Linked DNA regions of Caenorhabditis elegans. The protein of the gene in region 2 interacts with the protein of the main gene of each other region in a pairwise test. Each region holds a gene or a part of one and is shown on either strand. Other genes may lie near its edges.

Region 1 (16,737 bases), on a different chromosome or scaffold from region 2:
GTTATTCACGCAGAAAGGATTATCGTTTGATCCACAGGAGTAAGTTGAGAATTTTGATCCACAATAAAACATTTTTTAGCAGTTGGAGTTATTTTAATTCTATCAAAAAATTGATTAACCTATTAACCGATTAACCCAAAAACATATTAAAAATCGTTGTCAATATTTCAATAACAATTTTACAGGCTGTTCAGCAATGTATACAGTACCCGCACATTGGAAGAAATTCTGGAGCAAGGTGGTGGCTCATCGAGCACTTCTGTTGGTATTGGTAACCCTCTTCACGAAGACATTACCTCTTTCCAAAAATCATCTGATTCGAGTGTTCTTATTGACATCCCGATGACATCTGAACCACAATCATTTTCTGCATCAACATCTGAACTACTCTCCTCGGAGCCATCGTCTAATGAAGAAACTCAAATTTCTGAGGAACCAGAAGAAGAGAGAATATTGGATGTTCAACTTCGGCACATCAAGCGTTATGTTTTCTGTTTAGTTATTTTCATTCATATTATTGCATTTCTTCTAGTTCTGTTCACCTAAGTTTAGGGCGTCTTCTTCTCAACTATAATTTCCGTGTTTCACGCCTGAGGTTTTTCTTTCAATAAAGTTGGTGTTGGTTTTGATTTTCCACTTGTTTTATTTGGGCTTTTTTACAATATTTGAAATTGGCAGATCAAAGTAGCTTGTATTCCCAATCATTCGTTTAGTTATGAACAGTTTTCACCTTGATTTGAATAAAGGATCTAACGTAGTGTCAGAGTGTGCCATTTTGGTTTGATCTACGTAGATCTTCAAAAAAAAACGAGAGAAAAGACGCAGAATTCTCAACTAATTTTGCATGGTTAAGAGCGTGCTGACGTCACTTTTTTTTTTTTTTGAAAAAAAAATTCACACATTTTTTTGTAGATCAAACCGTAATGAGACAGCCCGACACCAGAATTTCCGAACAAGTATTTTTGTTGAATGCTCCCAACCTTTGATTTTGGACAAACGAAATGTAATCAGTAGTACAATTGCAAGGGTGAGATCAAAGAAATTAGACCAGCTCTCAACAATTTTTCATACTAACTTTAAATAAAAGCTAGTACGAAAACTCAACTATTATTCAACATTCTGATTATTATCAAACTGATATGCAGCTATACTTCAGCAAGTCACATGAGTTAATTGTCATTGTTGACGTTGCTCACTAACAAGGAACCAATATTTCTTTCGAGTAGTTAGTATTGAGCCGCACTCGTTTCTATTAGAAACGCTATCCATCGTTTCAGATTTATCCGTCGCACGTTTATCTTTACTAATCTGGTTATAGTAAAAACTTGATCAATTTTTTTTGGATCAGAAACACAACGTTTTGGAGATGGCACTGTAGCATACTTATCAGGTCGTTATAAGAAAAAAAAAGCTTCTAAAGCAGCTTGGATAATGACTATTTTTACAGTTATTGTACACAATTTTCGTACTTTCTCATAATAATATTTTGCTACTGCTTTGCTTGACGTTCTACTTTTAGGATAACCTATCTGCGTATTTAGTGTTTTCTATGGTTCTATCTCTCAATCAGATAATTTGCAACTCAGTTTTTCTCTAGAATTTTTCTTTCAATGCCTGTCCTGGTGCAATCATTTACCAATTTATTCAGCACATAAAAGCGCGCTTCTCATGGTTACTGTGCTAGCGGTTAGGTTTTAGGGGGAAGCCTCAACTAATTCTATCTAATTGGTATATCTTCAGGCGGTCACCGTTTATCATTTCCTGCTCCATGTGCGGTCTATGCACCTGAAAACTATGTGTCTCCCCTGTATCTACTGTTGCCAGCGATGTGTCTCCATTTATGTGACACTGCATACGCCTGCATTAAAAAACACCACTCCGGCGGTTTCTGACTCTCCAGGCCTTAAGTAGTATATATTCTACTATAGGGGTTGTTCATAGTTTCCTAACGTTGTATACATGATGCCAAGTGAATTATACGCTCTAGGATAGACTCAATTTGGTGCAGGTGCACAGAGCCCACAAGATGCGGAGCAAATGATAAATGTAGGCCGCCTAAAAAATAGACCAATTAAATAAGATTAGTGGAGAAGCAACCTCCGACTAGATCCTACCCGCTGACAGGAAAACCCGATAGGAAAATACACCAGGACAGGTGTCGAAGAAACCCAAAAGAAGAATTCTGAGAATAATAGGTACGATTAACCAGATAATGAAAAAGTACCATTGTACTTTCAAACTCTGCAACTCTCAAGTGTTTCTCTCCTACACGGGACGATAGTCACTATCAATCTTAATATTTTAAAAGTTTATTTTAATTTTTGCTACTGCTCTTATTTCAATAATCTTTCATCGACATTTTAGGTAATTCTCCATCCGAAAAACTTGTTGAAAGCAACAACATGGAGGTAAGCAAGCAAACTTGATGATTTCAAATTCCATATTTCATTTTTTAGAAGAGTAAAAAAACGAGACAAAATTTTAAAATAGCCGAGTTAGGGCTTCTGAAGGAGTCGTTTGAAAAAGACTCACACCCTGGAACTTCTGAAATGAATCGTCTTGCTGGTTTATTGAATCGAAACGAAGCTCAGGTTTGTTGTTAAATTTTAGAAACAAAGTCTACTATTTTTTCAGATTAATCGCTGGTTCAAGGCAATGAGAGTAAAAGTGAAAAAGGCTTCCTTAAAGGTAGTTGAAATTTAATTTTTATGTGAATCATTTTTGTGAATCAGTTTTGCTGAGAAAGTTACTAATTGGGTTTAATGAAATGCCTGTTGTCAATTTTTAATGGGCTCTTTCTCTGCGTTTGTCGCTATCATTTTAATCTTTTCAGTCAATTTTCATAGAAGTATTTGTTTCATAATTATTAAGTTGCCGACGTTTTCCATTTTAATAAGTTTCATCACACTTCTGCTTTTATTGTTTGAAAATGTATTATTGTTTTCATTTTTATGCTTGGACAGCTCAAAAAATCACATTTTACAATTACCGTGTCAGAGAGTTTGATTGAAAAATCCAGTTGAAGTTTTTTTTGACACATACTCGACTTCATTCTAAAATCTTTGCAAAATGCACACAGTTCAAGTTGTAGCGCTGAGCATCATTATCGCATTAGGCTCCTGGAAATATGTTGTCATGTATAAAATAAATTTTGAAGATGTCGAGAGAAGTTACAAGCCAATCGGGAAGCAATGTAGAACTCCTGGGATCTTCGATTGTTCCCGAGCCACCGAGTAGTGAAATAGTATATTTTTTTTCGCTTTGACATAAATACATACAAAAAAAACTTTTCTTGAAGGTGTCATCGCAAGCTCAATACCGATTGGAGAACATGAAACTATTAAGCAATGTTCCGGAAACTTTTAATGTTGCAGGACCGTCAAACAGTAAAATGGTATGTTACTTTTCTCCGAGTTTTAAAATACAGAAACTTCTGAAGGTACTTCTGGAAGCTTACATGAACACTGTTCGGCAAACTTCGAGTGTTGTTGGGCAATCAAGCAGTGAAATGGTATGTTTTTTTCCAGTTTTGAACAACTGGTATGTGTAAATGAGTTCTCACTAAACCTCAAATTATTAATTTCACCCCAAATTGTCAGATGCCATTCAGACGTACTATATTAAAAATGCATTGCAAAGTTTTAATCGACAATCTTTGGCACTCTTATCTAAATTGTTCCACAATATTTCTCTTGAAACCATACAAATTCAATTAAAATCAGATCAACTTTAAAGGCGACGAGATTAAAGCTTTAAATTTTCCCAATGCCAATCCTCATTGAATACTTTTCACCAAAAGCGTTAATTTATTTTATGAGACTTTGATATTTACAAAAAGTCATAAAATTGAAGTAAGATCCGTAGTTTTTAGAACATGATAATTTGACTGGACCTGCTGTAGAATTGAATTATAACTTTTATTTGAGGTTTTTAAAAACTAATGGATAGACGTTTCAATATTGTAAACATAGAAAAAGTTGGGAAAAATGTTCGTCTCATTTGTAGTATTTTATTACTTTAAACGGCTAAAAACATTTTGAAAATTAATTCAGACTCTAACACATATTTTGCTGTGAGAATACAAATACATATAAATAGTGTATTTTTCAAAAAAAAAATTGAACTGTCATGTTTTTCTAAAACTATGACCTAACTGTATTTCATTGCAGCATACAACTCCTATTGTTCCAATTATTCAAGCCAACAATGATCTGCTCACTGTCAAACCACAAGCTCCACCCAATCAGAGTATCGGACGCAAATCATTCATACCCTTCACAATTGACAATATTCTCTCGTAGAGTAGATTTAGAAACAGCTTTTGTAATCAGATGTTGTAATACATTTTATAATAAAACTTCTCAAAAAATTTATGTGTTTTTAGAAAATTTGATTTTTCACTGGATTTTACATATTACATTATACAAATTACATAGCGGGACTTCAAAAATTTTCAAAATTTTCCACGGCGCTTCAAAATTTCAAACAAATGGGATTGGTTATTGTTGTTCTTTGAAGAGTTACTGTAATATTCGCTAGGAGATATTTTGACAGTGCTCATTCTGCGGTAATAGAGGTGGCATAGGGCCGATCCGCATTATTGCGTTGACCCGCGACCCAGACGGAGTCAGAGTTTTTTGCAAGTTGGAGTGCACTCATAATACTACCCCGCCGGGAATTGTAGAAAGTTGAAGAGACGCATGCATATTGAGGACCAGATGGCGGGGAGAAATAGATTGTTACACGAAAAAAAAGATTGTTACACGAAAAAATAGATTGTTATACGAAAAATAGATTGTTACACGAAAAATAGATTGTTACACGAAAAATAGATTGTTACACGAAAAAATAGATTGTTACACGAAAAATAGATTGTTACACGAAAAAATAGATTGTTAAACGAAAAAATAGATTGTTACACGAAAAAATAGATTGTTACACGAAAAAATAGATTGTTACACGAAAAAATAGATTGTTACACGAAAAATAGATTGTTACACATAATGAGGGCCGCAGGCCCGAATATACTCAGAAGTGATGGGCATACGTTAAGCCTATTCTTAGCTCAATAATTCAGGTTGAGGGCCGCAGGCCCGATTACACAAAGAAGTTTTCGACATCAGTTAAGCACCATTTGAAAGTGGAACTTGTTATTTTTAAATTTAATATTAAATCAAATTTGGCCGGTCTTGACAAACTTCAGCACATTTACAGAAGTTTTGAGAATTCACGTCTTTCCAAAAAGTGAAATGTTTCATTGTTCGTTATTTTTCAAATTTGAAAACACCATTATATTTTGGCTCAAACACTTAATAGCAATAGAAATTTCGCACTTTTACAATCTACGCCACACCCCTGAAAGTTGTCATGAACGTTTATATCTCGGCTCTCACTGGACCGAATTTTGAAATTCTTTTTTCTCCACATTCACAAAATATAGCGACGTGTGTTCATCTAAAAGGGGGTTGATTTTGGAGCATCCTGTCGGCTCCACAAGCGGAAAACCACAGCCTGCTTGTTTTTGCGCACACCGAAGTACTGGCCGAAAACCACTTTAAATTGAAGGAAAATTCGAGTTTCAATCGAAAACATTTGAGACTCGAAACTTAAGTTCTCCTTCCCAATACCTATCCATAGTATCCAAATTCATTGTGATATCTCTATTCGTTATTTTTAAAACGATAATTAAAGTTTTGCCAAAATTTCTGCACATTCCCCCTTTTCTCTCACACACACACCCACCTCCCCCTTTCATATTTGGTGTGTTTTCGGTCAGTTTTCACCATTGTTCCGGTCAAATCTCTGTTAGTCTTGCTTTTTTTCCAATTTTTTTTTGGAAAAATGTTGAATACATCGAGAGGAAGCGAAAAATATAATTTTTTTCCAAAAAAGGTGGATAATCGTATCAAAAATCGAAAAATGAACATTTATCTTGAACAATTTGCATTTTTCCATAAAATTCACAAACTTTCCACTATCGTTTCGGTTTTTATGTTAAATTTAGAGTTAATAGAATGATTCAAAATGGAATCTCAAATCACAGCTCTATCCGATCATTTTTCGCGGAGATAGGTTATTTAGTTTTTGCACATGGAAATCCAGTTTTCCTCTGTTCCTGGACAAGTTTTCTACTATGCTTTTGATTTTATTTTCTAATTTTGATAATTTTCACTAAAGAAAGGTAGACAATCTAAATTTGGTCGGCTATGACAACTTTCAGTTGACTAGTCTTTTGGATTATTTGAACGGATTGTTTTCAATCGATCATGTCGATTTGGCAATTGACCATGATCAACTTTTTGGGGAGTTCAAATCTGCTTTGAGCCACCCTTTGTTTCGGAAATGCCATTTTCTAAAACTTCTCGGACATTCGTACTTTGGCACTGAAGATATGGAATTTATATTGAAGAATTTCGATTCGAAATATGGATTCCTGACTTATTGTTTACACAAGGACAAGATTGATAGAAAGCTGGTAAGTTGAAAATATCTTTGCTGAATTATGAGCATATTCACATTTAAGTGGGCCAATATTCCACGATTGGACATCGAAAAAGGCCCAGGATTAACACTAGACGATTTGAAAATGATGGATTGCGAGAAAATGAGATTTTATGATCTCAATACAGTCTCGGCAACAAAACGGAATAAGTAAATTCATTACTGGCTGGCCGGGAATTCGCCGAAACTGAGAAGACTTCAATTGAACTACTGGTGGCATAATTGGACGGGCGAATTATTGAAAGGTTTATCATATTCCAAATGGAATCCAAAACGTAGAGCAAGAATCTTCTGGTATGTTTAATTAAGGTCTTTTCCAAATAATAACTTTCTGGAATTTTCAAGTCATAAAAATGGAGGGAATCATTCTGATATGCATTATTCTTGCTTAAAATCTAGGGGAAAACAGGGAAAAAATAAAAAGAAAAACTACACTTTAAAACCACATAAGCTAAGTCGAAACTTAAGCTTTCTAAGCCGACACCTGATTTCAATTTTAATGCTTAGCCTAACCTGAACCTAAGCCCAAGCCTTACACTTAACCGGAACATATGTCTAAACTTAAGCCTGCCAGTTGAAAATTCAGTTTTTTTTAAATTGTCGTTTCAGTGATGATCTTGAATTTGTGGATTGCACATATGGACTCGATATTGAGAGAAGTGATGGTCTACTCGAAACTATTCTAATCGAAAACTTTGCTATGTACTTTCTCGTATGGCATGACAGATTTCCACAGGATCCCCGAACATTGTTTCACTTCTCGAAATCTGTTTCAATTCCAATTACAACTTATTAAAAGCATTCGTTTTTCTATGTTCGAAAGTTTTGAGATATAATGCACTTTTTTATTAGACATTCAAAAACTGAACTAAATAAATTCTGATAAAAGTTTTCTTTGTTACTTGAACTGAGTATTTGTCTTAATGTAAAAGTACTGTTAAGTCATCCATGTGAGAAAGGTTCATTCCCGAGAAAAAATGTCGGCGACAAAATATCAAGAAAAAGATGTTATCAAGAAAAGGAACTGTGTTTTAAAAGTTTTAAATATACCCGAGAGATGGGTATATGAATCAAGTACTACAGAAAAACATGATAAAAGAGCATTGTCAAAAAAGTGATGCGAAATGGGGAGTTTTAACAGGAAAGGAATGGAAATTAGCCCAGAGGATGTGAGCAACACGAAATGTGCTCTACGCAAAGTTTCAGTTTTTGGAAAGGTTGAAATGTTTGAAAGAGATTTTGTTAAGTTCATGAAAGAGATAACAAGTTTTCAAAGGAGACAATGAAATGTTGACAAAATTGAGTGAATGAGAAAAAAACGTACAGAAAACACAAAAAATTGTTGAAAACAAAATCATCTTATTTCGTATTTGTCAGCGCTTCTGTTCGTATCATAAGATCGTTCCAAGCTTCCCGACACGTAGTATGACGCAAATTGTATGAAGTTGGCTTGTAATTCTTCTTCCTCATCAACTGTCGGAAGTTCTTCCCCTCTACGTGGAGGCGTCAGTTGGACCGGCATTGATGTGAACTCCTGAGTATATGTTAATATCATTTTTGAATCATTGGTTCTCTTATTTCTAGAAACTATGAAAACTGTTATGAAAATTGGAAAATCCTAGTCATTAAACAAAGTGTTGTTTGTGTTTCAGTATCAGTAAAAAAACTAAATGAAATCTTATGTACGTTGGCATACATTTTTTTAAAACTGTACTAAAAATAACAACACTTTGCCCTAATTGTAAATCGTTTACTCTAAAAATTACTCATATTGCTTCTGAAACTTTCAAAAGAATTGAAACGTAACGTACTCTGTCAAAGAAACTCGTGTCCGTTTCAGACATCACATTTGGCTTAAATGGAGGTTCGACTTCTTTTCTTAATGTTGCTTCCCAATCCACATCTTTGAAAAATTCAGCTCTCGAAACTTCACGTGCATCATCAGGACCGGCACCAAGCCGCTTAGCTGGGACCCTTTCGAGTAGTCCAGATAGTAATGTTACGGCTTCTGGGCTTAACCTATTCGGGAACTTCAAATCACATGTCGTAATTAGTTCGAAGAGTTTGCCGTTCTCCTTTGCTGAAAATGGAAGCCGTCCACACATCATTTCGTACATGACCACTCCGACTCCCCACCAGTCAACACTACGGTCATAGTCGATGTCTTCGATAACCTGAAACAATAGACTAATAACTTGACGCGAGAATTGAAAGGCTTTACCTCTGGTGCAAGGTATTCTGGTGTTCCGCAAAAGGTGCTTGTTTTATCTCCATATTTGATTTCCTCTTTGCACAACCCAAAGTCAGTGATTTTGATGTGACCATCTCTGTCGAGAAGCAAATTTTCGAGCTGAAAAAACAATGGAAAAAACAATGAAAAAACATCAAAGTTGTGAAATTCAAAAATTTCTGACAAATACTTCAAGTTGTGATAACCCCTCTCAAAAAGCTTCTACTTACTTTCATATCACGATACACAATATTTCTGTGATGAAGGTATCCAAGAGCAAGTATGATTTCCGATCCATAAAATCTTGTTCGTGCTTCGCTGAATGTTTTGCACCTCTGAAGATGGGTGAACAGCTCGCCACCATTTGCAAACTCCATCACAAAACAGATGTGATATTGTGCTTGGAAACTGTATTTAAGTAGCTGAAAAAATATATTTGTGGCACTGTGTCAACAACTGGGGAATTCAAATATTTTAAATAATTGTAAGTAAGATATATTTGTAAAGTTATGGCAATCGATAAATTTATAGGAAATATGTATTTCAGAGTTTCTTAGAGAAAAAAAATATGGTTCCACGGAAACGCCCGCCCTACTTCGGCACGCCCATGCGCCAGCATTATCACACTCTGTGTACTGCTGCCGACGCCGCGCAGGACCTCGCGCCACTATAGCTACGTGCAACAGAGAAAGGCGATGTTGTGAGGGCGGCGGGAGTGTGGGGCGTATTGTGGTGCTGGCGGGCGAGAGTAGCGCCATCGTTGAAATCCTAGTGTGCATTTATCCGTCTCTCTAAACATGATTTTTTCACGAAAAAAATCATCTACTTCAATTTTCACTGACATCTGCCAACATTGTACACCGACTCAATATTTTTTCGACCAATAAGCATACCGTGAGAAAAGGGTGAACGCAAGCATACAGAACTCGATTTTCAGTCAAAGTGTGGGCCACCTCAGAACGATCAACGACCATTTCTTTTCTGATAATCTTAATGGCGTAGAGCTTATCAGAACTTTTCTCCCTGCACAAAATAACTTTTCCGAAGGTTCCTTGACCGAGAACTTTGAGGAAGTCAAAATCGTCCATCGTCTGCAAAATTAAATAACTACATACATTTAAGAAATAATAGAGATACAAAGCAAAACTTGAATTTTTAGCGGAAAATCAGAAAAAAAAGTTTCGCTCAACCTGTCAACCAAAAAAAACTTGTTGCGCCTTTCGAGTTAATCATTTTTACTCAAAAAACTTTCTTTAAAAACCTCTTATTTCCACATATCAATACGTGGATTTGTTGGCAGGATTTTGAAACTTACCACTGTATTTTTTCTTGGAACTTCCTCTGGTTCGTCGATATTCATTACAGTTGACTCAAAATCATTATCCGAACGGGTGCTTGTTGCGTCCATGTTCACATCACTTTCTCCAGACGGATTCTAAAAAATTTCATGAAAATTTTGAATCTCTTTACTTTCATACTCCATTAGTATCTTCCTCCTGCATGCTGGTATTTCCTGCATTTTCTTTCAAACGATTGTGACTGGATACAGCTTGAATTGCTTCAATCCACATCTGACGGAAGTCGGCGCTATCCGCATAAAATGTGCGTTCAATGACAGTGGTCCATTGGAGACATCGCACGATAAACATATTTGGTCGAGGTTTGTCAAGGCAAACCGTCTGAAATAAAGCATTTTGGTAGTTGCGGTTTTCAATATGGAAACTGCCTACTGGCAATTACTTAAAAACTTATTTGAAGTTCAGCTAAGGTTTTCAAATTTTTACTAAAGAGGGATTTCTACATATGTATATTACTGGGGTACTAACTTTCTGCTTAAAGGTGGAGTAGAGCCAGGGAAGATTTTGTTCAAACACATTTTTAATAATCCAAAATGTCCGAATATCATAATGAAGCATTCCAATAAATTTTAGATTTTTCATAATTTCCGGTCAAAGTTTTGGCAAATTGCCAAAGTTTTGAAAAGTATGAGTTTTTGAAGAAATCGAAAGCAATGTCGAATGTTCCGACCAGGGGTGTGCGGCAAATTTCGAAATTTGCCGCACACGTCAAAAATTTGACAGTACAATTTTGACTAAAACTGTTGATTTTTTCGCCAAAAATTTAGTAAAATGACAACAAATTGAGTTATTTTGATGTTTAAGCAGACACACTACATCTAACTTGTTCAGAAACCAGAGGTGTGTTAAGAATTCAGTAGTTTCGGTGCTCCAAAAAATATCAAAAAATATATAATTTTTCCGATTTTGTTAAGCACGGCAAATTTGCCGAATTGGCCGTGCTCGGCAAATAATGGAAAAATAGATTTGCCGAATTTGCCGAGCTCGGTAAATTTTGAGATTTGCCGCACACCCCTGGTTCCGACCCTTACAATGTTTCAATGGATATAATTAAAACAGATATACAGTATAAAAAATGTTGGAAAAAATTCTTTTTGTCGACTTCCAAAATAATGGGTGGCAAAAACTTAGTAAATTGTCTGGCGCTACTCCACCTTTAAAAGCAACGATTTTGAAAACTTTCTAGTAACCATCTACAGGTTCAAAAACTTACCGCTGCGTCTCTAATCATAAAATTATTCAGTGGCTCTGGTAACGGCTGATCTTCCTTTGGCTTTGACCGGAATCCAAGCAACGTTCCATCTCGAAACAAGATGAAGTACCTAAAATACTGACATCTTAGGATTTAATTTTCATTTATTTCCAAATTAGTTTTGGTTTCCTGTTGGAAGATTTTCATTTCCAATTCAGTGCAATTAAAGTGAAAACTTTTTGAATATCTTTTCATAAGGGACAGTAGCTATGAAACTTAAAACTACTGTACTAGATTGGATACATAGGCCTGGTAAAACAATGAAAAACTTACCTGGGGCGCCAATTACGAATGTGCTCTCCTTTCTTGTGAAGCCAACTTTCAATAACAATGTCTTCTTTTTGTAGATGGGCGTTTTCAGTAGACATTTTTACGCTGTAAATAGTGATAATTCTTTCAGAGATTTTGTTTTAAAAAAGAAAAATACGTCGTTAAAAAAATACAATTAAAAGGTAGTTTTAAATTATGGTATTTATGTACTATACCTGCCCCAAAAATGGAAAACCACGTGTCCCACTACGGTGTGATCTACAAAAAATGCGGGACTTTTTAGCCACAAAAATGTGACGTCAGCACGTTCTTAACCATGCAAAATTAGTTGAGAGCTCTGCGTCTCTTCTCCCGCATTTTTTGTAGATCTACGTAGATCAAGCCGAAATTAGACATTCTGACACCACGTGGAAACCCTATTGGCAAAAATTTTTAGGGCAGATATACTACACGAGCACTTAAATATTACAACTTTTCCATTACATCTTAAAAATTTACAAACATAGTTTGAACTTCATGGTTATGAAACATTTATAACAATTTAGTTTTAATTGATCATATTTTCAATAAGGCTTTGAAGTTTAATTTTTTTAATTCAACACTAATTAGGTTCTACGACAATTTTTCCTCCAAAAAAAAATCTAACGAACTAAGAATTCATAGCTTTGATAAAACACGAAAAAAAAAAGAAGAAAATAGTCGTTGGCTACGAAAGACTATGGGAAAAACAAACACCCCTAGTGACGTATTGTGGCAAACAGAGGAAAAGGACAGAAGGAAAAGATTGCAGACAAAACTTGAGCGGAGAAGCAGAGAAACGCCGGCAAGAGAGATGAGAGAGAAATAGAGATAGCAGCGAAGAGAGGGGATGTGACCTTTTTTGCTGCGGCAGGAAAAAGGACGAAAACAACTTCAGACACTATTTCTCCCCCCGTCAACAGCATCACGAGAAAGGTTGCGTTTGAATATTGATTTTTTTGGAAAGCGAGATTTGTTTTCAAAAAAAAAAAGAAGAAAATTCTGGAATAATGAAATATGAGAAACATGTGCGTGAAACTAAACATTTTCAAATAACGAGGGAATGTGAATTCTGGTGGATCAAGTATAAAGCAAAATTATTTTATGTACGCAATACGTTGCTCACAATTTAATAACATTTAGTAACTTGTTTTCTCTTCAAAACAAATTATTATTCGAATTTAACTTGGGGAAAATTATATAAACCACCTTAAACAAAGATTCAAGTGACTGTATTATTGTTTTGTAATATCATAAATGCGTTATAATGAAATTTCCACTGACACGTGGTGTCAAATTGTCTCAGTTCTGTTTGATCTACGTAGATCTACAAAATTCGCGGGAATTTAGACGCAGACATTTCAACTGAATGCGCATGGCTAAGAGTGTGCTGACGTCATATTTTTTGGGGGAAAAAATTCCCGCATGTTTTGTAGATCAGACCGTGATGGGACTGCCTGCCACCACGTGCACAAGAGCTACTCCACCTTTGCTGCAAATCTCTATTCTTTTGGTTAACTGAACAAAAAGTTTAAGCAGAAAGAGGCGTATTTCACTGGAAGTAGAAGTGTGATGTTATATACAATTTTAGTTATTTAAAGCGGAATAATTTAACGAGGTATTCCTGTGAATTTTGACTGTAGGCGTTCGTCTACTTATTTCCGCCGTTCCGTGCAATTTTAGTAAAAATCTATAATTTTGAAATCTCTAAAATAAAAATGAATTTCAAAAATGTATAATATTTCCTAACGTCTAGTGGAACTACATAGGTAACTTTTTGTCTGGAGTAAAATGGGCATGGTGTTGAAACAGTGAAATATGTGATTTCCTTGTGATATTTGTTGTATGACAACCGTCTTACTTTGAAAAAACCAACGAAGCAAAAAAAGCATGCGGTCGGAAGAAAGTGGTAAACAACTTGCCAAGTGAAAAATGCATCCAAAACCACAAGATGATAAGACAACCGACAAACAAAAAACACAACATAAACTGTAAAATGCCGGTTTTTTAAGTGTCGCAAGACATTAAATAACAAATTTTTGAAGTTTCGCAACTCTCTTTTTCTATATTGTTTACCAGATGTGCAGTTTTTTTTCTTTTATAATAATATGAACTACTAAAAACAAAGAATATACATTTTAGAGATTCCGAAAAAACGACAAAAAAAACCGAAAACGTGGGATTTGATCTCTGAAAATCCACAAACAAGCATGTCAACAACGTCTATTATTCAGTTGTTTTTTGGTGTGTAGTCCTTTATATAGAACAAGGACACCACAAAAACAGAAACGTGCAAAATATAAAAAAAAAGACATATTAATTACTCGTTCTTCTCGCAGTGGACAGATATGAATTTTTATTCGAATATACTGCTATTTTGTATATTTTGTCTGCATTGTTGTTATTAGGCCTGTGGAGTGGGTCGCCCCATTTTTTTTGGGTCGGCCGGGTTGGGGTCGCGTCCCCGACCCATTTTTTGGGTCGGGGTTGCGGCCCCGACCCACTTTTTGGGTCGGGGTCATGTCCCCGACCCATTTTTTTCAAAATTTAACAGAAAGTTATCAAAAACTTGAAAAACTATTTTTTGTCAAAAAACACGTGTAAAAGCTGAAAATTATAAAATTATCGTATTTTCATCAATTAAAAAAACATATCCTATTTTCGATACAAACAAGCATAAGAGTCAACGTTTAAACACGATTTACAACAAAACAAACTTTTTTTTTCAATTTCAGACATTTTCCGAAAATGGGTCGGGGACGCGACCCCGACCCAAAATTGGGTCGCGGGTCGACCCATCTCGACCCATTCAACAGGCCTAGTTGTTATTAGCTTACAGTTTCAATCGGTAGGCACTCAATTTTTGGTATATTTGGAAGCCGATTATCCGAAAATGCACGTAAAAACACGGAATAAACAATTTAAATTAAATAGAAAGTATCAATTAAAAATATTAACAGCGCATTTCAAAAATATTAAAAGTTATTAAAAAATACAACTGAAATGGAATAAAATAACTTGAAAGCAAGACTGATAAAAGTTCACATTTTAGTAAGACAAATAGATAAGGACTGGAAATGTATGTCTCAATTGATATTATTGAGTGCAGGTCCAATAGAGAAATAAATGTAGCATAAGTATTAAAGCAACATCGTTTTGAAAATACTGTAGCTTTGAAATCTCAAACAGGTCGGCAAACCGGAAACATAAAATAAGGAAAATTTAAACAGTTCTCTACAGAGCATGCTTGAGTTCTCGTAAATACTTAACGTGTTTTTGACATGGTGAATATGGGAAATTGATGATTGGAAAGGATCTGTCAACATTTTTTAAAAAATCCTATTTTTCCAAGCAAATATAATAATATGGGTTAATTACAAGTCGTGAAAGGTTAATTAATTCAGATATTATACGATTGTTTTTTTAGATTTGTTAGGTCTGCAAAGAAGGATGGAAAAAGGACCCTTAAAGTAGATGTAAGAGTGGAGTCAGTGAAAATGGGGAACAGACAGATAAATAGTTAATGTGTTATCTTTATTTTAAAATGCTGCTTTTTTGTTGTCAATACAATGGGTGTTTCTTCAACAATTCTTTTTCAGATCGGGTCCTGAAAATAAAAAGTTTAGTTTTGCAGAATATCAAAAAATATAGGGTTTTTCTTCTTACAATTAGTTCATTTTTGTTCAAAGCCATATCCATATTGTCCAAAATAGACAACATATCTCAAGTGAACTTTACAAACATTTACCGTTGTTATTTACCATTCCCTATCAACTTCTCCATCATCATCCCAAGGATAATCGTACGTTTCGAAATCATCCATTTCCACAGTCCCAAATGGCCACCAACCATATACAATTAGTTCAGGCTCTTTAAATGACTGAACGTCTAGTTGCAGTATTCCCCCCGCGACACAGTTCCGATTCCTTGTAGGAATAGCTTCTAGTATTGGATTCACCTGTTCCAGGTCCACTTTCAAATGAGCTCTGCTTCTTTCTCGTTCAGCAGCCCGTTTTTTCTGCTCCTCAGTCACTGGCCTAACAATTCTGAAGTTTGTGCCATTACGCCATTGGAACCAGCGACGAACCTAAACGCGTTAGAGTTTTTTTAAGGAGAATTTTTAAAGTAAAAAAAAAAACTAACTTCTTTTCGAGATAATCCTGTATCTGCCATTATTTCCAAAATTTCATCGTTGTTTGGATTTTTGTTTGCCTCAAAGGCAGGAAGCAATTTGTGTATGATAGCTGGAGCATATTTTTCCGAGTAGTACGCGTTTTGAATCTGTAGCTCAAAATTAAAATTTAGTAGCACAATTTAACGTTACCAAATAATTCTGTGCAGAGTAACATTCGGATAATTCGGATGACGAAGAATCTTCACGTCTTGATCTTTCGATTCCAAGTGTTTGATCTGCCTGAAATTTAGAGTATTTTCAAACGTTTTCTTCAAACATTCTTATTTGAATGTATTAGAATTTAGCTAAATATATAAGCATATGAAACAGTTGAAAAAATGATTCAAGATCAGCAAAAATTATGTGTATCTTAATTTTGATTTTTTTTTATCACAGTGAAATTTATATTCTGGTCTAATTAAACTCGGAATATTTTGAATTATTATATTTGTCATTTTTCTAGTGAGCTGAAACCAATCTTTAACAAATTTTTTTTCTTATTTTGATTGATAACTCAGCGTTTGTTTTAAATTTAAGCACGTTTTTAGTACACAGTAAGTTTTCAGAAAAATAAAATATACTTCAATTAACAAAAATCACATAAAAATCACCTTCCGCCAGCTGCGATACTGTAAAATTGGCAAAATTTAAGATTCTTGTCGCATCGAAGGCGATTCTTAATGTTTGATCCATAATATTCTGACTATTCACATTCCCAGAAAATATTTTATTACCATATTCCCATATTCCCTCGAATTCACATTCCCAGAAAATGTTTTATTACCATATTCCCTTGCTTCCTCACGCCCCTGCTGATCGAATTAAGAGACCATATAAAAGGAGCCGGTCAGTTCCCCAAGAATATACACTATTGTTTCCCCCCTTCTTCTTATTCATAAATAAATATTTGGCCTTATTTCCTTGTCCTACTACC
Region 2 (16,524 bases):
CTTCTCCTTTCCTGAAGAAAGTAAGTGACCAGTTAAAAACAACTTTTTAACGCACCAAGTCAATATGATAAATATTTTTAGACGCCAAAGAATTGCGATTTTCTTCAATTAATGCATGCAATGTTTTACATGTAACAGTGATATCGTTCAACTCCTCATAGCAATACTGAAAAGTTAAAAATAATAAACTCGAAACGTTTGCGACTTTTAAATCTTACATTTTTCAAAACATGTAGAATGAGTTCAGGTGGTAGTTCCAAAATTGGAAAGTTTTCCAAATTCATTAGAAAAGAAGCAATGAAGCAATTGAAACAATTTTCGTATATTTATTTGTTAAATTTTTATACCTGCGTCTCTTCACTGAGAAAGTGGTAGGAGGAAAAGTGTAAGAAAACTGGGAGAAATAGTGGATCGGGATTATTGATTTTCAAAATTTAAGGATCTCTAAAGTTTTTAAATCCGATCAAAAATAAAAAATTCAGAAAAATTGACCGATTCGAAAAAAATCTGTTTTATTTGTAAAACTGTTAAATTCATCTGAAAAAGTCCAGTAAAGCCATATTGATGCACCCTAAATTTAATTAAAACAAGATGTAAAAGACAGCAATAATTGCAAAAATTAATCCAACGATGTACAGCAATGTATAGTCAGGAGCCACTTGTGCGTGATCGTTCGTGGCCTGAAATTCATTTTTGAACGAACGGATTAAATATATTTTGGTTACCATAAGAACTCTTTCATCAACTGACATAATTGCATCTCTTGCATTATTCCATTTATGTGGGCCTTTCAAACGATAAATATACGGAACACATGGACCAAAGTATACCTGAAAAATTGAACAAAAAACTTTCGAAGTAATTAAATTTTTAAATACCTTGTAAGCTAGCCATGGGTCCTCTTTCCAAAGTTTCTTCATGTCCAAGTCGGCTCCAATCATTTTCGCGAGTTCTTCAATATAATCGACATAATCCACTTGAATAGTATGTCGACGACTTGTTACATATCTTCTTGCCATCGTTTCAAGTTTATCGTGCACATTTTGAGTCATTTCATTCTTTTTTGGGAGAACATGATTCCCAGTAAACTCCTCTAAATATACTCTCGCTTGCATTTCAGATAGTGGCATAATGGAACCAAATGGTTGGACCAATCCGATGACTGCAAGACTGTTGTGATCTCCAAGTTCTATTGGGAACATGTACTGGTAAAGGGATACTTGATTGTCATGAGTTCTAATCAGTTGCCCATTTTCCACCAAATTGAATTCAAATGAGAATCCAGTAGACATCACAATCTGAATTAGGATGAATTAAAGAGGTTAAAGAGGTCCAATAAATATCTCACCTCGTCAACTTGCTCAATCAAAGACCCATCTTCAAAAAGGACCCCAGTCTCAGTGAACTTTGAGATATTTGGCTTAATCCTGACGGTTCCGCAAGCTATTCTATTCGGCAGCTCATCATTGACAGTCGGATGAGCTCCAAAAACTCTGTGACTTGGTTTCAAACCATATGCTTGATGATCAAATCGCTGATTCAGTTTGGCTTCGACAACTGTATTCGTGAGCCACGCTGGAACGAAAGATCTCAGATCAGAGATGCATTTTCTGTTCATTGCAATATCGATTGGCTGTCCATAATCGTAAATTCTATTGAACACCCATGTTCCACGACGAGTAACAAGGTATACTTGCTTGGCAATTCTTGATAGTTCAACAGCAACATCACCTCCAGAGTTTCCAATTCCAACTACAACGACTACTTTATCTTCATAGCCACGATGATCCTAAAAATTGTCTAGTTTTCTTGATAGAAAAAAATTATAGAAATGGTTCTCCAGTGTCAGAAAATAACTATCTTGGCTTCGAAACCAACACCGAAACACACTTGATACTATGCGCATACTCTGATATTGATTACGTAATCACTGATAAGTCATTGAAATTTTTTTATTAAAATTTCTTACTTTATAACTATGTGAATGAATAATCCGTCCTTTGAAATCATCCTGTCCTCGGAACTTTTGTGGCCAATTTGGTGTAGTGTGATGTCCCGAGCACAACATAACACCATCAAAGACAGCGTCATGGGTAGCTCCTTTGCTGTAATTCTTCGACTTTTTTTTTGATTCATCAAACTCTCCAAAACTCACTCATCAGTATAATTAACTTTCCACTTTCCGGTCTTCTCATAATCCTCATTTCGATCGATTGAATTCACTTTGTGATTAAATTTTATATGTTTTTCGAGTTCGTAATGTTTCGAGTAATTCAAGAGGTATCTGTACATTTCTGTGTTATGCATGAAGTTTGCCATTCTTGATTCGGGAGGAAAATCCGAATATGCCGTCATTTCCTTTGATGTGTTGATAACGGTAGTTTTCATGACAGAGGACACTGAAAATCTTTGATGATTTTTTGGTTAAAATTGAAAGTGTTTCTTTGGAAATAACAAAATAAACCCGCTATTAATTTTTAGAAATCTACGCTTTAATTTAGAAAAATTACACTCACATTCCGTCTCTTGTGGTTTATAATGCCACAATCCTCCGACATCCTTTGTTCTTTCAAAACAAGTTACATCAATTCCATAGAGCAATGCATGTCTCAAAGAAGGCAACCCTGATGCACCGGCTCCCACAATGAGCAGCTTTTTATTATTTGGAGCCATCTAGAAAATAGTAACGTTAATGCTGAAACTGATTTAAATGGGAAAGGTAATCGGTACCGCGTTCTTTTATCGGTTCTGATTGGCGACAAAAGCAAATAGACTAGAAGTTGTACAAATAATAAAAAAAAAGAGCACAAGGTGGAAGAGGGAGGAGTCGGAAAACGGTGAAGTAGGTCGTAGAGTGAGTTTTGAAATTTAAAGAATAGGTAAGAGAAACATGAAATTTTATCATTAACATATGTTTTCCATTGAGCATATAATAAAGTGGGTCGTTATTGAAAATATGACTGCCGAGTCATGGAAATTTCCAACGAGCACGGCGTTTAAAGATTGAGCAAAACTATACGTGAGCCCTGTAACATTTACGAAACATACTTAATATTGCTTGCCACGTTTCAATGTGTTTAAAGATAAATTGTATATTCTTAGAACTTTTTTGACTTCATTGACAATTATTGAAAAGCTATCAATTCTATACAAGGCATTTTAACTATATTTCACTTTCTAGTGAACTTCTGAACAATGAACACATCAAATATCTAATAGTAAGACGTTTTCTCGCAAAGCTAACAAAAAAAAGAACACCCGCATAGTTAACCAATGCAAATAGTCTACAGTTAGGACTTTAACGAAGAGTGCATTTTGTCTTAGAACTTTGAGTTGAAGCATCAACTAGGCACATTTAGGCTATAGTTTTCTTTTCCTCGTATTTCGAATTTTTTTATCAAGTTCATCAATTCTTATCAATTGGGTAAAGGTGTTTAAAACAATAATTTTATTCAGGTAACATCAGAACATGCACTGAGTCATTGAATTTTAGTTCACTATTAAATAGGGTGAACAAAAGCAAATTCCAAAATATAAAACTTTATTTTAAGGTGAACCTTGTCATGAACTTTCTAATTTTCTATCGTCATTCCAACGAAAATGCTAATTTTGGAAAGGCGGCATGCAGTCGAGCGTTTTTTGATAATTCGTAAATCACAATCAGGCCAACAGGGAATAATTTATTTTGAAACATTGTGTCTGTGCAAACTTTAATTCTGAGAAACCGTAAATACAGATTTATATTTTCTGTAGTTACATGTAATTTTTTACATATTGCAGAAATTTGCAATGACGCCATTACAAATTTTTTATGAAACATATCGATAGATACCGTGGTTGTAAAAATCTGCGTAATACTTTCAAAATTACAGATGATATTTACTGTAAATTATAATATCCATGTGTTGATTATTAGTTGTATATTTTGCTGTCTAATTATTTTTTAATATCTTTATAAGAAATGATTGTAGTTTGTCACCAAAAAAAAAACCAAAAAGTGAAATTTATATAGATTGGCAGGTGGTTGTGAGACACGATAATATGATAACCCGATGATATATTCAATACCAAAGTAGAAAGTGACCATTATGGTTCTTCATTTTGAATTTTTCGTATTCCTGTCCATTTGGCGGCGGTGGCATCTATGTTACAGACAAAGAGGATCACAGAGATAAGAATTATGATAGCATGTAGACCAAACACTCGGGACCACTGAAAATGAATTCGATAGAAATTTAAAGTAATTTAAATTTTGAAAATTTGAAAAATACATTTCGGAGTTATCAAAAATACATTTCCAGATTTTTTTATCAGACCAAAAACTGATTGAATTGCTTGTGATCTTTCGCACTGCCCGACTTGCTCATATGTTCGTATTGCCTACATTCTTGCCATTGACTAGAATCGCTTAGCACATTTTGTTGTTTACCTGAGCCATTCTCATGACCAGACTCTTACTGATAATACATTTTTTGGAATTGTCACATACTTCTTCAAACGTGTTCGATTGAACCAAAAATTTGATGAGTAGAGGCTGAAGGGATGTACTGAAAACGACACAAAGCGTATTTCCATTTGCAAGCACGTGGTTGTGCTCCGCTGATCTCTGAAAATATGTCTTTTATGCAATCAGGGCATGGAAACGAAGAGCAAACTTACATAAGTTTGAGTTTTCACAATAATAATAATGGCAACTCCATGGATTGTGATGAAGATGACAATGCAAATCATTTGAATGTAAGCATCATGAATCTAAAACTTTTTAATTCAAATAAAATTATATTTTTGAAGCGTTCGAGGGATGTTCTGGGAATTGCAAAATAATTTTAATTTAAAAAAGAAAAGTCAACTCACAAAAATTAAAATCAATAAAAGCGCAAGAGATGGGATCTCTATAAAAGTCCATGCTGCTTTCAATCGTTTTGTCATATCCATTTTGCTATTGTCCATAATTTTCCCAAATATTACTTTAGCAACCAAACAAAACACGTGAGCCAAACCACCGGAATACCCGGTCACTCGAACAGAAAATCCGAGAACCTGTAAATGTTTGTTGATCATTTAAAGAACATCTTACCAAACATACCTTGTTCATGTACAGTGGTCCATATTGCAGAAAAACTAAAAGGGATGAGAAGAATGCAAGATTAGCAAACCATGTGGCCCAAACAGTTGTGTCAAGAAGGAGTTGTCTATAAGGAACATCTGGAGTCCCTTGGGCTGTAGTTTTGCCTTTCCCTTCAGTGATAAAAGCTTTTTCTTCCGGTGTTGCAAGCCTGTAAATAGTTAAACTACTAACTAGAAACTTTGCAAGAAAACAACAAAACGTCATAAATCGTTTTATGAACTTCATGGATAATCAAGGGATAGTTTTGTATCAGATTTTTTTTTTAGGTAGTCCAATGCCTACCTGCGAGCCTACTTTGCAATACTTTCAGCAACCTACCTGTTATCATCAACCTTATCCGAATACACATAATAAAATGCAACATGTGAAATGAGACAAAGAACTGCCAAGAAGTAATACGTGTACTCCCATCCAAAATACTGACACATCTCAGCTGCAGTGATCTGTGCTACAAACGGAGCCAATTGATACACCGACGTCAAAATTGCAATTGCAATAGCTGTCTCAGATTTTGGTGTCCATTCTGTTGCAACTTTTGCAATGAGCCAAAGGAGAATTCCAAGTGGTGCTCCTTGAAAAAATCTAGTGATGAAAGACGGATAAAATCCAAGATGATAAGCTGTTGGGTAGAATAAAGCAGCGATAATTCCAACGATTCCATACAGAATGGTCACATTTCTGAAAAACATGAAGGTGTGCTTTAAATGAGTATCAACAACAAATTGTGTATTGAAACGAGAACTACTACATAAATCAATAAAATTAATTGAATCTTTTGTACTACATATTAATGAAAAATAGTGAAAAGATGTTATGAGACACAGGCAAAGCGGAAAGTGCCCAAAACGGTCCGTTCACGGACCGGGAACGGCTCAAATTTAAGAACAGTTCACGGTTCGATTCCCGGTCCGTCAACGGACCGTAATTGAACCGTGAGGAGACTAAAAAATGGGAAAATTTGTTCACCCTCCAGCTGCCCCCTTTTTCTTTCCCAATGCTCCCCCGAGCTCCGGTCTTGCTCCAGACCGTCTTCCGGTGATCCTTCGTTGTACCAATTCTATCTGCCTCAGCCGGGGTTGAACTTGTCCACTGCCTGTCGATTGATTACTGGCCCATCACCTTACCGTTTGGCCATTCGCGCACGCGAGGAAAATCAATAGACTTCGCATAAATAGCGATCAGCTCGCGCTCGCGCATTTTCTTCTGGTTTTCACGTCTTACACCAACTTTTTCGATTGTATTTTCAGTAGTTTCTGATTCTCCATCTTGCCGTTGGACTTATATGAAAGCGAACGATAACAATTGACAGTTTCGTGTAGTTCAGAACTTATTTCGCATATTTCTCAACATCTACCTATACGTGCTCCATCTACTTGTAATACAGATATGGTACTTACCATATTTCCTCTATTAGTCTTGCATGCAAGACTAATTTTCGATTGGACCGAGTTGCAATACTAATAGAGGAAATAAAGTATATGCGTTCTACTTGAATAATACCTTAATTTCTAAAAATACACACGGAACAGAAACGATATGATTCCAGAATGTATTGTTAGTAAAATATTTTATGATATTTCAAAAAATGCTCCTGTTGCTCAGCTGAAGAAGACCAGCAGAGAGAGTGAACGTTGCGTATACACAGTATCTACCCAATTGTGGCATTTCATCTTTTTATTGATATGTTTATAGGATTACATTAATATAACCGCTTTTACACACAATGTCATGCTTAATAGCCTCAGTTAGATCGCATGCGATTACGGGCCGGCGACGGACCGTCTACGGACCGGAAACGGCCCAACTACGGCTCAAGAGCCATCTCGGTCGGTAAATATGGTTTTTGCTCTAAATAATGCATTTAACGACGTAAAAATGCTTGAATTAGCCAACTGGTATCATAGGTATTTAAGAAAAATCGTTTTCTTAAAATCCATTTTTTCCTCTTAATGGCCATTTTTTACATTCCCCGTAGTTTGCCCGTAATTGGTCCGTCCCGCTTTTCATATCCGTAGTTCACCCGTTAATGGTCCGTTCCCGGTCCAAGATCCGTAAACGGACCGTACCCGCTTTGCCTGTGAGAGAAAACCTAAATTGTCGTCTCTAGACACTTATGTAATAAATAACCTCCACAATTCTCCCATTACAAACCTTGTACCCAAAAAATTCAGAAAGTGTAGTGGAATAAGTCCGACAGCCAACCCGAATCCAACAGACTGGAACGTAAACTGCTTGAGATCTTCATCGAAAAGAAATGAGTCTGCAAGTTTAGAAATTTTAAAGTTGATTAGCTTCCAAGATCAGAGAATGACCAGTTCTTTCTTGTTCACTATCAACCGTTATAATTTCACAAGAGGAACTGTCATTTTGATTGAAATGATATCAAACAACGAATAATCAACCAATGATTTTAATAGCTAACCGACTGACCAGTTGAATTCTCCAATTGACATATTATTGTAGAATGGAATGAGAGACGAAGTGCATAGAGTAGAGTGATGCATGAAGTACTGAGCCCTGAACTTTCAGAAGAATATAAAACCACGACGTCTTAAACTTACCATAAACCAAATATCTAACCGGAAACATGAAGGGAAGCCAAACAGATAGTGAGGCTGCTGCCTGTGGTGGAATGTTCAAATGATGACGGTTGTAGTTTTTCTAATCAAAAGGCTAGAAATTGAAATGAAAACTTAGATATTAGAATTGTGTTGATATGAACAAAATATGATGGAGGAAGGAGGAAAACGAGAGGAAATAGACGAACAAATAAAGATAAGTGAGAATAGAGACGAAGAGATAAATGGGGTGAGATGAATTGAAATAGAAAGAGTGAATGATGAAAAGAGGATTGGTGTGCACAGATGTTCGAATGTGCAAAAAAGAATATGTGGTGATGTGGATGACCGTTGGGCTTATTGACAAGTTAATAATATACAGGACATTTCAAAAGTTCGATTGAGAAAAGTACATGAATTTCAAAATAGATGAATCATTGTAAAAAGATCTCAACCATAGAAAGTTAGGTCCATTGCTGCTACTGTTGAATACTTTGAACCAATAAAATATAACTATTTTCAAAAAGTTTTTAATTTTTGTCTGCGGTATATAATCTTATCATCATTCAATCCTAAATAATTGGTAAACATTTTAAAAGCTTCCTAACATTCGACAACTGTCTGGCAACAATGGCCAAGTTCCGGTCAAAATTTCGCCACGATGGTGTCAAGATTGTCTTTAGCTCGAATCTAGTTGCAAAAGCTTGTCAGGGCGTTATCAATCGTGCCAATTGCAACTAAAAAGGTTTGAAAGGAAGTGTAAAAGTTTGGTAAGAGGATTGGTAGTAATCAAAAAGTTGTTTTTGAAGAAAAAAACCTAGTCAACCACTCTGATCAAATCAGATAGGAAATTTCATGAAACAGAAATTTCCTGTCTGTTTTCGAAACTTTTCGATAACCAGAAAGTCACTCTTAAATATTTTTTAAAGAGTTTGTATCACATAGAAGAGACGCATTGGGTAGAATCTTCAAATCTTGTAATTATCAGAAAACTTTATGACTTCTTTGTAATCTGTCTCAAAAACCTTTGCAATGAAAGCTCAGTTTGAATACTTATCCCTTGTTTGAGAAATATTATCAGAATTTTCAAGGTTACAAGTCTCCTAGACTTTTTTCAGTCAGTTGACTCACTTTTCTCAGAAAATCTGGTATGCAATTAGTCTAGACCGTGAGAAACAATAATTTCAACAAAATAAAGATCATTGAAATTGTTTTCAAGAAATCAAATATTTGATTAGTACACTGATAAAAGATGGAAAAGGTGAGAAGTATTTTTTTTCCTTTTTTTGCAATTTTATGCCTGCTTCAACAGGTACTCAAACGTACGTTGGAAAAAGTTAAATTTTTAATAAGTTGTGTAGTTGAAGCGAAGTTATACAATACTCACAAATTTTTATAACCGGAAAATACCCCTAAAAATATGAAGGTATATGCTGCATTTGAGCTTGAACTCCACTGTTTCTAATACTCGCGTTTTAATTTTGTTGAGGGTCAAGAAGGAATTCGACAAAAGCTACAAATGTACTTTGAAAGAAGGCATCCGTAAAGGCACGAGGCAGGCTCCCTGGAGGTAGAAAAGAATGGTATGAGTTGTTTAGAAATTGTATTTTTGAATCCCATCTATATTTTAGAAACGTAAATGTATGTATAAAATTAATAAGTTTGAAAATATTAAATGAACTTTTCTCCTTCTCCACTCTAAAATTGCACTTTTCCACTACCTCTGGTATCTTTCCCGTTACATCTTGAGCATCGGAGCAAACCACAAAAGTTCAAATCCATTTCCCATCATTTTTGTTTCATTCTTCAATATTCCAGACAATTGTAATCATGAGTAAGAGCTTCTGCACTGACGAGAATTCGTGGTAATTTCCCTTTTTGCAAACTTCAATTTCAATTTTAGTCGCCTTGCTCTCTTCTCTTGCTCCACTAACATAGAGAACTATAAAATCTTTGATGGTTCAGTCCAACACCCATCCAATTTTCAAGTTCAAACAATCATTTTGTTAAAGAGCATTCTTGGAAGATTGGAGTCTCGTGAAGACAATTCAATTCTGAAAATATCCGCACAGGAAATGGAATACAAAGAAGTTTTTGAAGGAAGATTTAAAATAAAAAGAAATGTGGGAGAATTCTGCAAGTCACTTTACAGAACTGCGCACTTTTAATGAGTGTACACACTACATTTTTTCTACAGAAAATTTCCACAATATTGTCCGAGAAAGTAGAGCTTCTCGTCATTTTCTTCCCACATGACAGCAACAATTATTTTCCTTGAATATGATCTTCCCCACACCATGACCGACCACAGTGCTCATCAGGAAAATATGGCGACTGATTAGCTCAGTCAAGCGAAACATTTTATTTCTGACTGAATATCCAAATTCTCAAAATCTTCTGTTCTCTAAATATTGGGTGCTTTTCGATGCCCTTTGTAGACAAATCAATGGAAAAATTGTCAATTTCTGAAGGCAGTAATTCTCAAAATCTTCTGTTCTCTAAATATTGGGTGCTTTTCGATGCCCTTTGTAGACAAATCAATGGGAAAATTGTCAATTTCTGAAGGCAGTAATTCTCAAAATCTTCTGTTCTCTAAATATTGGGTGCTTTTCGATGCCCCTTGTAGACAAATCAATGGGAAAATTGTCAATTTCTGAAGGCAGTAATTCTCAAAATCTTCTACTCTCTAAATATTGGGTGCTTTTCGATGCCCTATGTAGACAAATCAATGGGATTTTTTTTCCTTTTTTTTTGGGATGAAAAAATTCGCAAAAAATTTTCCCGTGGTGGAGAGTTGAACTCAAATTTTTCCGTGGTGGAGAGTTGAACTCATCCTCGTGCTTGTCACTAATTTTTTGATTAATTGCGATTTCAGATAAGGGTTAAGAACTAAAAGTCAAGCTGTATCGACATTGGATCGCGGTTGAGCGGTCGCAGAGTGCACCGGTGGATTCGAGAGAAGTTAAGAAGAAATCGAAGGTGAGTGGGAATAAGAGAATAAGCTGTCTTTTTTTAAACTGAAATTGTCGAAAATTCTGAACTCTTTTCCATATATTTTCCAATATACCATAGATCCGCCAAGGTCAAAGACTTTCAAGTCATAATCGTAAATTAAAACGTCTTGTCAGTTGAGCCAACAGGATGTGTAGTCAGCATTAGTGTCAGAGATTATATATCAGAAGCGTGTGATTCGTGAATAATTTGCAGCATTGATGACGATTCAGTTTGTAGCTGGCTGGAAGATGTTTTCTTTTTCTATAATAGCTTGGCAAAAAAGACCAAAGGTGTAGGTTCTCGTCTAGGTGTAAGTAATATGCTTTCTATAAACAAATACACGTCACTATGATTGCTTTGATAATATGTAAACTGGAAATCACTGGACTTAAATTATAGTCCAAAAGGCTCATTTGGTATTGAGACGTTTTGAAACGTTTTTTCAATTTTTTCTAGTTTTGAAGTTTTGAAAAAAGGAATCATTTCAGCTGAAATCTCAAATGCATTCAACGTGTCAGTGCCAAAATAACTAGAAAACTTTTTATTGAAAATTTTGGTGAAAAAACGTTTAGAATTTATTTTGAAAAGATAATGTGTAAATATCCTACTCTAAAAAACCTTATAAAGCACCGAACGACATGAAAAAAAATCAAAATATTAATACTAATAATACTAATAACTTATTCGAATATCTAATTGGTCCAATTTTACAGTAAGGAAAAACAAATTGCCTTGTGGGATATGAACTTTTTATTTCAAGCGTTGCCTTGTTTTTTCAACAATACTATTTTTATTTAAGGCTTTCCGGTTAAATGTGATTAAATAAATAAAATGTGGAATTATTTCTTATAACAACAAGTACACAATGTTTTCCACTCACAGAAAGCGGTATATCTGATTTTCGGCAACTTTTTCCTCTTGTCTGAAAATGTGGCCCTTCGTAGTGTCTATTTCCATTCTTTTTGAAGTTTTCATATTCCGTGAGACATCTGTTGACGTGGCAACTAGAATACTTCCTCTTTGACAAGAATGTGTTAATGAGCTCAAGAAAAGCTATTTTTGTTCGCTTAGTGGTCTCTTGCAATGAAACAATACGCCGAATGTGTTAATAAAATTTGTTTCTAATTCAATTAGATATTTTCACATTGAAGATATTGTAATAATTGATCTGATAAAAGTACTGGTTTATTGTGTTGTGCTACAAAATTTTGCTCTGAGTTTCCTAACTAACATTTTGGAAAAAAAAACGTGGATGCCTAAAATAAAAGGTTCACCTGGGGAAATAATCTTTAAAGACTGGACTAAAGATTGAATGTAGACATTTTAATCTCAAAAATACTAGTCGATATCAAATTAATTATATGCAGTTTCGTAAATATATGTTTTGATGCAATTACTAAACACATGAGCACTCAAATACATGTGATATATAAAGTAAAAACAGGAAACCGGGGCATTTCCTATTTCCTTGTGTCTTGATTTTCAACTGCCACCTCCTAGTTTTTATTCTCGTTCCAATATATCAGAGGAGCCAAGTTTTCATTATTCTATTTTTCTTACTTTTCTTTTTTCTTTGTTTTCCGAGAAAAGTCAAGAAGACTCCTCCCATTTTTCCACTTCTTTTTTTGGGACACCTCTATCTGATCAATGAACTTTTGGAATCTACGGTAGTCTACGATGGGCGGGACTTGAAGACTCCTTGACTTTTAGAATTAAACAATTCTTATTTCTTCTGTGAACACTTTTTATTATTTCTTGAAAACTCAAAAGAACTAAAAAGAATATATCAAAAGGTAAGTCTAGTGTTTGAACTTTGTCTATTTCTGGCAGAAACCCTTGACCAAATAAGGATCACTTACATTCACAATCTGAGAGTTTAGGATTACGGAAATTTATGAGAGTTTGTGTCTAGCTGTATTTCCTTATTTTGTTGCACTACAAAGTTTTATTTGAAATTATAATATGAGGTGTTTCACTAAATAAAATGATTTTTAGCCTAGATTCTCAACATGAAACATTCTTAAAACTTTGTCCTTCAGGGTCCTTTTTAGAAATTTATTTGGATTCAACAGAAGGAAATTTCAAAATAAACATAACCTGCCTTATGCCTTCTTATAGACATGGCGGTCTCCTTCTTTTTCTGCATTTTTTGGATTTAACACTTTTTCACTTTTTTCTTTTTTAATTAATTGATTGAAAATTCAATTCAAATATTATAATTATAAGTTCAGGGGAACTTGAAATAGGTCGCTACGAATTTTGGTAGGCAGGCATTTTTTGCAAACAAGATTACTTTTAGAAATTTAAACAAATCCCAGTGTCAAAGGAACACTGTTTCTTTACGTTTTTTTTCAGTTTTACTACATTAGGACCCTCCGAAAATTTCCTTAAGCCTATAATCACAGTCTCTTCAAATCCCTTGATACCACCATTAGGATCTTTGCCCAATTTTCCAAATGTTGCAAACCCCACGTGCCGGCAGAAAAAACTTTTTTCCAAAAAAAACTTTTAGCCCTCATCCAACAAAAAAAATCCCAGTACTTTGTCCATTGACCCTCATCTAAAATGTGCAACACTGCACGTTCAAAATTCGATTTCCGAACCCAATTCCATCGTTTCTTTCTCATCTTTGAGATCCACTAAACACATATATATCTAAGAGTTTACACAGAAAATGACGGAGGATATTTGTTATATTTGCTAACTTATTGGCTCTACAATTTTGCAAATATCATGTAGGAGACATTGTATTGCAAATGTGCGAAACAATTTCTCGGAAAATCAGGAAACTTAGGAAATTAAAATGAAGTTTTTTGGAAAAATAACAATAGAAAAAAAGAACAAAAAAGCTCTAAATAAGTTCATTTTGAAAAAGTATGAGAAAAAAGAAGACGCCCTTCTTCTTCCATTTCCGATGAACTTTTTTCTCCCAAATGTGCACAGCGTCGGTTTGCTCCAAAGTAATCTGTGTCTTCCATTTTCAATTTCCGCGAATTGACGATTCTTGCAACCTTCTGCATTCTCCTTTCTCAACTTTCCTGAATTCATTTTCAAATTTGCATCATTTTAAATTGTTTAATTTTTCAGTGGAAATTTGTCATAGTTTCGTCATAAAGGCTTCATAGTTTGTTGATACTATTGGAAACCCAAAATTTGAGAGAAAATTTAAGAGATATTGGGCAACGAGAGGCAGTCATTTTCAGTTTTCGCATGACTGAACATTTTTTCAATACTTACTTTGTAAAAATGCTGAAAATATATTGTACAAGTTTTTAGTATTCAGTAGGTTGAGCAGTAAGTCAGTAAGGTTAAGCCCGTTAAAGACATAATTAATTTTTCAGAGGATCTCATAAATTTGAACGCAAGTCCTCCAGTGAATACAGAATAAAACCAGAACTGCTTAATCTAGACTTTTTCCGGCAAATGATAATTTTCTTTTGTTAACCTCGAAAGTATGTAAAAAAGTCAAACATGTATAAAGTTGCGTATATTTTTCTAAATAGCTTTCTTCTACTTTTGCTCTTTGTTGTCTTCAAAATATATCAAAAAATTTAGAGAAAAGTTACGAGGCGAAATAAGGAGGTAGGGATTAAATAAGACGAATGAGAATGGATCAAATGTTTCATTTCAACAACCACCAACGTGTTTTTTGTCGTTTTCTTTGGTTTTTGGCCTATTTGACGAGTCTGCAGAAAACCCAACTGTTGAAGAAATCTCTGAAATACTGCATCTTCGAATTCTGTAATTTCGCTTTTCGTTCAGCTTTTCCCACCACACCTTTCTAAATGAGTTGCATTAATGCAAAATTCCAACTCAATGAAAATTAGCTTTTTTTTCTGTTTTTGCAAAATTAAATTCTCACTCAATTTTTCTGAATTTTTCCTCGGTTTTATCAAAAGTTAATATATTTGTCCCGTTGTTTCCAAATATCTCCTTTTAAAGAGCACATTGGCTTCACACAAAATAGTCTCGAAAGTACACAGAAACTAGTTAAGTATCCGATTTCGATTGTACATCTCGAATGTCATGACTTTTTATGCATCCTAGTGGTTTCATAAAATGAGAGTAGAAATAGAGAAATAGAAAGCACGAAAATGCAAATCGGAAACTTTCCATTTTAGGTGCAAATTCTCTGACAAATGTGCAAAAAGCGGAAGTTAAAACACATTTCTATATTTGTAAAGGATATCTCGTGCTTTATTTCTAGTTGAAAAACTTTAAAGTCAGAAGTTCCGTTTTGTTCTCCGTTATAACTATTGTTGAAACTTTTAAAAAGTACATCAAAATTCAACGATCGCAAGTTGGAAACTTGATAAGTTGTAGGTTTGCGTCAGGACATATTAAAAGTGTTTTATTGAAAATGTAGATCAAATATTCTAGATGCAAAAATTGAATTTCTGAAATTGAAAATCACAAATTAAAACAGAGTAAAAACTGATCCACTCCCTTCTTATAAGGATACTTTTTTCCAAAATTCAATTTTGCTCCGAAACGTTTTGCAAAAAAAAATTAGAGTTTTTTTCAGAAACAATTAAAATCTCCAGCCAACATAATAGTTCTATGGCATAGTTTAAAAAATTAATATTTAGTACAAATTCGAGTTGAATAAGTCAAAAAATCAAGATTCAATGTTTCAAAGATTTCTCGCGAAACCTTATACTTAGATGCACATCTTATTTACATCGATGTAGATATGTGCAAGAAGCGGAACATTACCAAAAATTACATTATGCTTTAAGGTGTGATGCTCAAAAAATGTTTATTTCAAGAACATTTCAAAAATGAAATGTTTAAGAACTTCTGACTTGACCAAAAATTTACAAAACCATTTTGATATGAAGTTACGATCATTTATCATTGAAAAAATTACAAAAAATATAAATTCTGTACTTACAGCTTTTTTCAAGTTTTAGCTATGATGAGACAAAACGGCTATTCTTTCTGTATTCGTTTCGAAAATACCAAAAGAACCAAACTGATCAATGCTAGAAGCCTGGTCTACCCCAAAATTTTCCTCTATCCTAATCATCATTTGTCCCTTCTCTGTCCCCTTGGGATCCCAAAAGTCTAGACGTTCTTTGGTGGAATGCACGTATTGATAGACCGACAAATGCCAGGGATCTTTTTGTGTCTTGGTTTGATACATGATGAGCAATAAATTTTGAAAAAAGTAGGGAGATATCTCTCTTTAAAACAAAATTGATGAGCTGGAACATAACTTGTCATACGTATTTTCGTTTTTGAAAAACATTTTGTAACTTCCAATATTAACCGTCTTGAATTAAAAACTGTTAGGCCTGTTTTTTGCGTATAAACTTCTAAGTTAGATGCTTTAACTTCTAGAAAACAATTATTTTTTCTTAAAAGCTTAAGGTTTAAAAACCTAAACTTTTTTCATCTGTAATTAATGTTGATCTACGTCTTTAACTACTTAACTGTGGTCAAAAACAGGAAAAAGTGGTGTGTTCACTCACATGTCCTTCTTCATCAGATGCTCCCATTTCATCGTATCTCAAATTCCAAACATCAGCCCCTCATTTAGACAAAAACTTTTTTTTTTCCTTTTTTCTCGATCTATTAACGCTTCTCTTTCTATTTCGATCAAAATTTGCTGATTCACTTTCCTCGTCTTTTCCTTATTACCACAATTTATTTGTGGGGGAGGCAAAGAGCTTACTCCGTCGAGCCATTTAATTATACGATGAGCTTAGCACTTTTCAAAAAGGAAAATCGAAAAAATAAGGAACTCCAGTAATCTAAAAGGTCATACTGATTTTCACTTTGGAGATTCAGGCACTTTATTCTAAAAAATCATAAGATGATACTTTCTTTGTTTGTATTGCG

Evidence for each region.
Region 1: the proteins of K08C7.1 (region 2) and akt-2 interact in a two-hybrid assay, tested with the Caenorhabditis elegans proteins (one large-scale study listed by BioGRID).

Annotation. Positions count from the first base shown.
Region 1 is NC_003284.9:14,142,679-14,159,415, reverse strand, and holds akt-2 (Serine/threonine-protein kinase akt-2), read right to left. Parts: upstream 11,717-16,737; 5' UTR 11,710-11,716; coding exon 11,615-11,709; intron 11,412-11,614; coding exon 11,303-11,411; intron 10,411-11,302; coding exon 10,210-10,410; intron 10,167-10,209; coding exon 10,047-10,166; intron 9,823-10,046; coding exon 9,625-9,822; intron 9,154-9,624; coding exon 8,962-9,153; intron 8,852-8,961; coding exon 8,723-8,851; intron 8,676-8,722; coding exon 8,313-8,675; coding exon of another isoform or gene 8,268-8,312; exon of another isoform or gene 8,036-8,267; coding exon 7,856-8,035; 3' UTR 7,448-7,855; downstream 1-7,447. Other genes in the region: lgc-25 (Acetylcholine receptor-like protein cup-4), read left to right, coding at 1-39, 186-546; ceh-90 (Homeobox domain-containing protein), read left to right, coding at 2,403-2,408, 2,457-2,591, 2,635-2,688, 3,158-3,244, 3,299-3,394, 3,440-3,511, 4,170-4,301; ceh-89 (Homeodomain-only protein), read right to left, coding at 15,225-15,236, 15,588-15,716, 15,773-15,910, 15,954-16,043. UniProt on the Caenorhabditis elegans protein: Acts downstream of PI3 kinase age-1 and kinase pdk-1 in the daf-2/insulin receptor-like transduction pathway. Essential role in regulating developmental arrest at the dauer stage.
Region 2 is NC_003282.8:10,648,196-10,664,719, reverse strand, and holds K08C7.1 (MFS domain-containing protein), read right to left. Parts: upstream 7,909-16,524; 5' UTR 7,718-7,908; coding exon 7,690-7,717; intron 7,646-7,689; coding exon 7,559-7,645; exon of another isoform or gene 7,423-7,558; intron 7,389-7,422; coding exon 7,280-7,388; intron 5,807-7,279; coding exon 5,447-5,806; intron 5,277-5,446; coding exon 5,087-5,276; intron 5,041-5,086; coding exon 4,855-5,040; intron 4,753-4,854; coding exon 4,660-4,752; intron 4,607-4,659; coding exon 4,490-4,606; intron 4,213-4,489; coding exon 4,087-4,212; 3' UTR 3,935-4,086; downstream 1-3,934. Other genes in the region: K08C7.7 (F-box domain-containing protein), read right to left, coding at 1-11, 56-166, 219-284; fmo-1 (Flavin-containing monooxygenase), read right to left, coding at 582-680, 726-830, 879-1,298, 1,349-1,789, 1,970-2,105, 2,156-2,399, 2,517-2,673.